Linked DNA regions of Oryzias latipes. The protein of the gene in region 2 interacts with the protein of the main gene of each other region in a pairwise test. Links are inferred from orthologs where the notes say so. Each region holds a gene or a part of one and is shown on either strand. Other genes may lie near its edges. The genes, in order: partitioning defective 6 homolog alpha and prkcz.

Region 1 (4,588 bases), on a different chromosome or scaffold from region 2:
TCAGAGGGCAGCAGATGGGGGTGGGGGGGAACTGGGTGCTGGGGTGCAGTTTTTTTAATAGAAATCTGAATGTTTGTTCCATTTCCAGCTGCTGAAATCAGCAGACAGCAATGAGACAGACATGTATGGAAGCCTGGAAGGGATGATAAAATCAAGAAACAATGGTTGTTTAATTTTGGATACGATTTGGATGAATTTAGAGGTTATTTCAGATCTTGAACTTGTTAGCTAGTTTATTATATGCTAATATGATTAATTGTGATTCAATATCATGGATTTCAATGGTTAATGGTTATCAATGGCTGTTAGCTGTGCCTCTTCCTGAGATTTCCTGACAGTTTTAGACTTACAGATGTTTTTCAGGTTAGGCTTTGCATGGATTTAAAAACAGAATCAGTGAAGTCTTATCATTCAGATAAGACTGTAGTACTGTGCATAACAAACCCAACAGAACCAATGACCTGCAGAGGGAACGCTGCTGCATACGCCTGTACTTAGATCCCACAGCTGACTGTATGCTCACTGCAAAAAAGACATTTTCCTGAATGTTTTTACTGGCACTTCCCCTCTAGTTCTCTGTCTTCCGTTTTTCCTCATTTCCTTGATTTCCCAGAGAAGTCTATGGAAAATTGTGCTTTGCATGAAAAACACGACAAGCTGGAACAAACTGCATTTGTCATGTAAAGACTTTACAAAAATAATGTGTAAGGAAACACTGAAGCATGGGCAGCTGTTTCTGTGTACACGCTGGAGCCATCTTACTCATCCCAGCTGAGCGTGACGTTGGCACCGTAGATGACGGGCCTGGACTTGGGCAAAAAGCTGTCCTGAATCAGCACAGCCTTCATGAAGAACAAAAACGCTGACAGCTCCTCAGTCGACTCCAAGTTTGCATCTCCTGCTGGAATGAGCCTGCTGTTGCTCATCTGTTAGCAGCCAGCAGATGTGCACCAGCGTGCACGTCTTTATGTACACAGGGATGAAGTTAGTGCAACTGTCCCTCACCTGCGCATGAGAAACAAACAGCCAACATGAAAAGAAAAGCAGAACACATTTGGGCCACATAAGCACAGTTCTTTGGCACTGACAGGTGAGCACAGCGCTGTAAATTCCAGCTGTGAACGCTTTTCTCTGACTTCTACGGCTCTGCAGCTTTTAGGACAACATCTGGCTCTCAAAACATGGACCGACCAAATCCTCATGCCCACAGACGCCTCCAGATGTGCGTGTCATGAGCAGGACGGAGAAGGTCTGCGGAGTCCGCTAGGGGACTGTGTGAACTCGGAAGACCAGATCCTGAGTCCCCTTTATCTCAGTCAGTGTCTTTTCATTCCGAAAACGACACTTTAAATAGAGGACACGTGGCGGGACATCCTGTTCCAAGCTTTCCTCAGAGGATCTGAGGCTGTCTGCTGACCCCTTCAGGACAGAGACAGACCATAATATCAGCACAATGTCATACCAGAGACAGCATCCACCAAAAGGAACAACTTCTCCCTGACTGGACGTCTGGACCCAAAACACACCAGCACCCTGCCGGTGGGAGGGGGTGGGGGGTTCAGCCCAAAGGTTTCAACATTCATATTTTATGAATATGGATTATTTTTGCCATTAAACTGGCTCCTGAACATACCAGCTCACACCCAGCAGTAACAGCTGGAAACAGCCTGACTCTGAAATGTTCCTCATTCATTTACAGACCCCCCCCCCCCCCCCCACACACACACACACAGACGCAGACCTCCATCACTTGCTAAATGTTGACAAGTAAAGCTCTTCAACACGATTTACCTCCAAAGCTTTTACAATCTGACAAAAGGTCTCTTCATTTTTTAAAAGTACAAAGTGTTTAGAAACTGAGATTTAGCCATGAAAAGGAGGAAAGAAAGATCTGTGAAGAAAAATCTGCTGAGCAATGAAAATAAACGGATGAGGGACAAAAAAATAAACGATGAGGGAAAATCCCCCCAAAAGATTAGGAATTTTCTGTTTTTGACTGATGGATAAACAAAGTTTTTACTGGAGTTTTTGCTGTTTTCAGCTCTAATCTCCAATGTTTTAAGGTGACATTTTAATAATAATCAATAACAATAATAATAACATCCTTTCCAAAGTGACAATTAGCAGAACCGTTTCCAAAGTCCAAATTATTTCCATTTACCAAACCGTTATGGAAACCCTGACAAATATTTGATCCTTAAGCATCACAGAGCCAGAGGAAAGTTACCAACCAGAGGTGAAGCTTTTAGAAACTGAATCCCTCATTTCCCTGAAGGTTTCACAGACAAACATCCTCAGACTCTCTCTGTCTGATCCGGCTTCTTTTTTAGTTCCACATGTTTGGTTTTGTTGTTGCTTCTGCTAAAAGAACTCTGTGTGTGTGTGTGTGTGGGGGGGGGGGGTCTCTGCTCATCCACAGAGGCCCCATGTCTGCCTCCATGGGGCTCTGGAATGAGCGGATCCGGCCCTGCTCTACCCGGATGATGCTGAACAGAACCGAGAGCAGAACCGATCCACGCGCCAGATCTCTGTGGATCTGCGGCGCGTGACCGTGAACCGGAGCGGTGGAGGCGCACCGCGCGTTCCGCCGCGGATGCGCCCCACCCTCGGTGCCGTTCCCGCCGCGCACTCACTTTGCTCTTGACCTCCACCACGCTCTCCGCCGCCCGGGTGGGCGTGCGGCTCTGCGACGCTCTGGACATGCTGCTCCGCGGCGGTCCGGTCGGCTGCGGGGAAAAGCGTCCTCCGGGACGGACACGGCTGCTTCCTCCTCTGAACGCCCCAGTCTAACCATGGAGGAGGCGGCGAGAGCGCGCAGCAGGCTTGTCGGTTTCCTGCTCCAGAACCGGTTCGGTCAGCTCCATGTCGTTCGTGTCTGCGCGCGCCCGTCCCCCCAACCAGACGCGCATGCGTGCACGCGCAGATGAACAGCGCAGAGATCGTGACAGGTGGAGTCCGGTAAATCCGGTACCCCCTCCCCCAACCCTACCCCCGACCAGCCCGGAGGACTCAGCGGAGGGGGCGGGACCATGTCGCTGCTGTCTCCGGACGAACCCGACCCCCTCCCGCCGGAGGATTGCAGACAGAGTTCACACCTGCAGCACACCTGAGGCTCAGGCACCGACATGGATGAAACCCAGAACCCAATAACCGACCGCAGAAAGAGCGTCCTGCTCGACCCCTATTCTCACAGTGTATGGACGAAAGGCTCCATGTCTGCAGCAGCACCCAGAGGACCTCCACCCTCCATCCCTCATCCTCCTCCCTTCATCCCCCACCCTTCATCTTCCATCCTCCACCCTCCATCCTCCACCCTCCATCTTTCATCCTCCATCCTTCATCCTCCTCCCTTCATCCCCCACCCTTCATCCTCCACCCTCCATCCTCCACCCTCCATCTTTCATCCTCCATCCTTTATCCTCCATCCTAGGACGAAAGGCTCCATGTCTGCAGCAGCACCCAGAGGACCTCCACCCTCCATCCCTCATCCTCCTCCCTTCATCCCCCACCCTTCATCCTCCATCCTCCACCCTCCATCCTCCACCCTCCATCCTTCATCCTCCATCCTTTATCCCCCACCCTTCATCCCCCACCCTTCATCCTCCACCCTCCATCCTTCATCCTCCATCCTTCATCCTCCATCCTTCATCCCCCACCCTTCATCCTCCACCCTCCATCCTTCATCCTCCATCCTTCATCCTCCATCCTTCATCCCCCACCCTTCATCCTCCACCCTCCATCATCCACCCTCCATCCTTCATCCCCCACCCTTCATCCCCCACCCTTCATCCTCCACCCTTCATCCTCCACCCTCCATCATCCACCCTCCATCCTTCATCCCCCACCCTTCATCCTCCACCCTCCATCCTTCATCCTCCATCCTTCATCCTCCATCCTTCATCCCCCACCCTTCATCCCCCACCCTTCATCCTCCACCCTCCATCCTTCATCCTCCATCCTTCATCCTCCATCCTTCATCCCCCACCCTTCATCCTCCACCCTCCATCATCCACCCTTCATCCTCCATCCTCCACCCTCCATCCTCCACCCTCCATCCTTCATCCTCCATCCTTCATCCTCCATCCTTTATCCCCCACCCTTCACCCTTCATCCCCCACCCTTCATCCTCCATCCTCCACCCTCCATCCTCCACCCTCCATCCTTCATCCCCCACCCTTCATCCTCCATCCTCCACCCTCCATCATCCACCCTCCATCCTTCATCCCCCACCCTTCATCCTCCATCCTCCACCCTCCATCCTCCACCCTCCATCCTTCATCCTCCATCCTTCATCCTCCATCCTTTATCCCCCACCCTTCATCCTCCATCCTCCACCCTCCATCCTCCACCCTCCATCTTTCATCCTCCATCCTTTATCCTCCATCCTAGGACGAAAGGCTCCATGTCTGCAGCAGCACCCAGAGGACCTCCACCATCCTCCTTTCATCCTCCACTCTCCACCCTTCATCCTCCACCCTCCTCCCTTCATCCCCACCCTTCATCCTCCGCCATCCACCCTCCACCCTTCATCCCCCACCCTCCATCCTCCACTTCCATACTTCACCTTCCCTCCTTAGTCCTCCACCCA
Region 2 (4,344 bases):
TATTTTTATGTACAATCGACATGATTCATTCACGTAAGATTTACAAACATAAAATTTTCTGGTTGAAATGACAAGTTACTTTTTCGTTAACTTAATTGGCTGGTAATTTCCTTTTTTTGAGTGCTGTTTTGGGTCAGGATGCAGAACCAAACATTTCCACAGACGCTGAAGGCCCATTTGCATCTGATCCACAACAGCAAGAAACATCAGGTTTGCACATCATTTAAATTACTAGTGTAGTAGATATGATATGTATTTTTATAGTCACAGTGTGAACATAATTTCATGAAATGTATGATAATCCATACTGCCTCAAACATTTATTTATTCACAATATATGTGACTTTTTTAGGATTACAAACACAAAAACATCCACATCCATTACAGAGGCTTCAGTGGATGAAGAGCTGCCCCCTGACCCACTAACTGCCCCTCATGACTGACAGGAATCCAACACATCTGGTTTGCAGAGGAGGAATTCAGGTTCCATCCACATTTGTTTCTCTCAAGAATGAGAATGATAGAGGAAGCTGCCATCAGCAGTACTTCAGATGAACTTTAGTTAGTGGAGGAGAGGAGAAAAAACGTGGTTGGTGTACTTAAAAAAAAGGTTCTCGTGTTTTTGCTGCAGACCTTTTTCCAAAAGGAAAATGAGTTTAACAGACCCTGGATTAATGCCAGTTCTTTGATCACCTCACATGACAATAGATCCTATCCACTGCATGAAAACTAGAAAAGAATTAGATGTGAGGATAAGAAAGCTTAAGCTTATCAAAATGTTCCTAAGATCATCCAAGGCTCAAGATCAGCTACCTGGTCTGGTAGCTCTAATCATCAACCACTGAGAAACTAACAAACCAGGGTTTGACTGATGACTTTGCCCGTATTAATGCAAGACTGACACATTTTTAGTTTAAGAGAAGCAGACCAAGTTCATAGTGTAAGCTATGAGAATTTTTAATTTAATATTATGTATGTAGCCCAATATTAGCAAAGTTGTCTCAATAAGCTTCAAGCTTAAATTGCACTAGTTGTTAATAGATTTTTTACATGGAGGTCATTTCAAGCCTCAAGCAAACATGTGTGTTGTTATCCTTGTAAGACTTATTGTTACTTTTGGTATTTTTTTTCCAACAGTCCTATAAGCTGTACGAATTTACAAGCCTCTGGTTGCTTTTTAAAATAATTGTTAATAGTGAAATATTTGAACCATAAAGTAAACCATAATAAGCTGTTGTACTTTTCTGGGTAGTAACTGGGGGAAACTGAGGGGCGCTACTGGTGTGGCTGCCAGAACCGCCACTCCCGCTGTGGGTCGCAGCGGACCCGCCGCGAGGAGCGGAGCGGGACAGGTGAATTCTGACCCCCGTAACCATAGAGAGCCACAGAAATCTATCAAGCTGCGAAGTGAGCAACCTACAGTTGTGCTTTCAAAATAAAAGCATCGGCCTCTTCCTCAATGCTGCCGCTGCCTATCATAGTTTCAATTTGTCTTATTTTGAAAGTGTGGAGCGGAAATGGCCTAGTAGTTATCGAGAGCTTGACGGCTCCACCGTCTCCGAAGCCTTTAATGTTTCTGCACCGTAAAAAAACTTCAAAACCGCTCCGTTAGTTTTCTTTCCGGAAGTTTCCTCCCGGGTCCGCGCGGGATAGTCGCGCTGAATGCCCCGCAGCGACCCGCAGGTTGGGTTCGTCAAAGTTTGGGCCTGTCCCGGGACTTTCAGCAAACTGCGGGATGGACGCGCTGACGTCGAACGGATCCATCATGGACCTGGCCTCTAAGGTGGTGAAGATAAAAGCGCACTTCCGCGGGTAAGTGACCTCCTCCGGCGCGTGGACACCTGCGGAGCCAAGGCGGCGCGCGGTGTAGCGGGCCGGGCCGGGCCGGGCGCGCGGGCACACCTGCCGCCACAAGAATGAGTAAAACAAAAACACCGTTTCTGACTTTCTCACTGCAGGAAAGTTAAATAAGTCCACAAGTGAAAGCAGTGTGACCTGCTGGTCACCAGAAATATCAGACACTGAAAGGTTTGATGGACTTTCGGTCCCAAAGCCTCCATTCTCCTTCAGTTCGGGACATGAAGGTGAGCGCCGCAGTGGCTGATGGGTGGACTCTGACAGCAGGAACCCCAGAACGGTTCCTTCAAACCTGTCTGAGGAACTGGAGGTTCTTCACCCACGCAGGTCAGAGAACAGGTGGAAGTGAAGCAGAAGGACGTCACTAACCATGATCTAAAGGGAGACACGTGAACGCCTCTCCCAGTGTGTGTTCATCTGAACAAACCAGTAGTTGATAGAAATGAGTTTTATTTTGCTCTAGTTCAGAGGTGAACTTTCATTTCCTGTGTCTCCATTGATCTTTGAGCTTTGAAAACATCCCTCCTTGTGGTTTTAATGAGCTGTAGTTGTTGTGGGACCAGCGGTTGCCGGGGCGACCTGCTGCCTGGACTGAAGTTCATTCTTGCAGTGAGGAGTCCGGCTCTCCCTGTCACCTGAAGCTGAGGGGGAGGAGAGCTATTCTGATGAGGAGAACAAACATGATGAGTCTGGAACTAACCTTTAGCTTTGGTTCTCTATCCCACACATGAGGATTGAACAGGAAGTCTTTAAGCATCTATATTAAAGCAAAACTAATCATTTTAGTTCATATTTGTAATAAATCTTTGTTAATGATCCAAACTATTGACATATTAGATGTTAGATGCTGGCCTCCTATGTAGACAAGGGTCATTTGGACTAGGGCTGGGCGATATGGCCTAAAAATAAAATCTCTGATTTTATACTTTTTAATTCGATTTTAAGATTTTTCCCCCCGATGTCCCCCCCCCCCCCCCCCTTACTTAAGGAAAGCAATAAGTACAAACGGCAGACAACTTAAAGCAAATTTTGCTTTTATCTAATCAAACGCAAGACAAATGTAACCCCCATTTCTGGGATGAATAATAAGTACATGAACACACTCTTGGAATCAAAGTCCCAGCTGGGTTTTAAGTCACACTTTGTAGTCTAGACTAAAAGGAGACAAACATTCACCTTGAGAGTAGCACCATTTTCTAAAGGATTAACATTACAGCTCACATCTGGGATCTAAGGTTTTAATTCAATTAATAAACCCCGTCTTCTCCACGGTATCTATGGGTACCATCTCTTTGGCTATATGCCACCGTGCCCCTTTCATAGGGATGGGTACCGTGCCCCGGTATTGAACGAGCCCCGGGGCAACATTCTTCAAGACTGCAGTATCGTTAAGATCTGACCTCAACGGTTCTGCTATCTGTACTAGAGAAGTCGCATTTTTTCTGTGTCCCACAAGATATAAACAAGAGCTGTGACGGTGTGGGATTTTTTTTTTTTTTTTTTATAACTTTATTTATTGAACATTTTCTGTATTAAACAGACATACAGAGTGTAAAATGAAATGTAAAAAAGGCAATGTGTAAAAATAAACACTCACATGTCAACCCGTCCCACCCACCCCCGTCAACAACCCCCAGAGGCCAAGTCAGACACAAAAAAAATAAATAAATAAATAAAATAAATAAATAAAAAATAAAAAAGTAAATAAATAAAAAACACAAACCACTTGGGCTTTTTTTTTTCTTTTTTTTTAAAATAAGAAATACGTCCAGAAAAAAAAAAAAAAAAAAGAAAAAAAAAAAGGTAATTAAATACGTAGTAATAAGTGAGAAAACCAGGGTAACAGCAGTGGCTTTTTGTTGCACTGGTGCTCAGTCAGCCTCCAGATTGTGAGGAAATGTCAAGGAGTCCACATATTGTAGGAAAGGGCTCCAGGTCTCATGAAACACCCTGAGTGAGCCATGAAGTGAGTACCTAAGCCTCTCAAGTTTGAGATTGTAAAGCACCTCGCGGACCCAGCGGACATGCGAAGGGGGACGGGGGAGCTTCCAGTTCAGCAGGACCAGCCTGCGTGCTAATAGGGTGGTAAATGCAACGGCCCGCTTTAGTGCACTCGGCGTGTCTGAAGTTGGGGGGAGACCAAATATTGCCGACATGGGATTTGGTGTGACGGTGTATCTGTAAGCCCTCGTTAGTGTATCAAATACATCTGTCCAAAGAGCTGCGATCACTGGGCATGACCAAAACATATGGGCATGATTGGCAGGAGAGAGATGGCATCTGCTGCAGGCATCACTAATAGAAGGATAGATTTTGGCCAGTCTGGCATTGGTGTAATGGACCCTATAAACAATCTTACATTGAATCAATCTATGGCGGGCGCAAATAGAGGACAAATGGACAAGAGACAATGCCGACCTCCATTGTTGTTCCGTAATGTTAAGGTTTAGACCGTCTTCCCACGCAGTTTTGACAGTATCGGACGGC

The links.
Region 1: the proteins of prkcz (region 2) and partitioning defective 6 homolog alpha interact in binary tests that used the Homo sapiens proteins (3 or more experiments, as listed by UniProt). The link is inferred for Oryzias latipes from reciprocal best matches to the Homo sapiens genes PRKCZ and PARD6A.

What each region holds. Positions count from the first base shown.
Region 1 is NC_019864.2:4,759,237-4,763,824, reverse strand, and holds the start of partitioning defective 6 homolog alpha, read right to left. Parts: upstream 3,023-4,588; 5' UTR 2,703-3,022; coding exon 2,634-2,702; intron 1-2,633. Other genes in the region: putative proline-rich protein 21, read left to right, coding at 3,126-4,577. UniProt on the Homo sapiens protein: Adapter protein involved in asymmetrical cell division and cell polarization processes. Probably involved in the formation of epithelial tight junctions.
Region 2 is NC_019865.2:32,864,483-32,868,826, forward strand, and holds the start of prkcz (protein kinase C zeta type), read left to right. Parts: upstream 1-1,523; 5' UTR 1,524-1,735; coding exon 1,736-1,812; intron 1,813-4,344. UniProt on the Homo sapiens protein: Calcium- and diacylglycerol-independent serine/threonine-protein kinase that functions in phosphatidylinositol 3-kinase (PI3K) pathway and mitogen-activated protein (MAP) kinase cascade, and is involved in NF-kappa-B activation, mitogenic signaling, cell proliferation, cell polarity, inflammatory response and maintenance of long-term potentiation (LTP).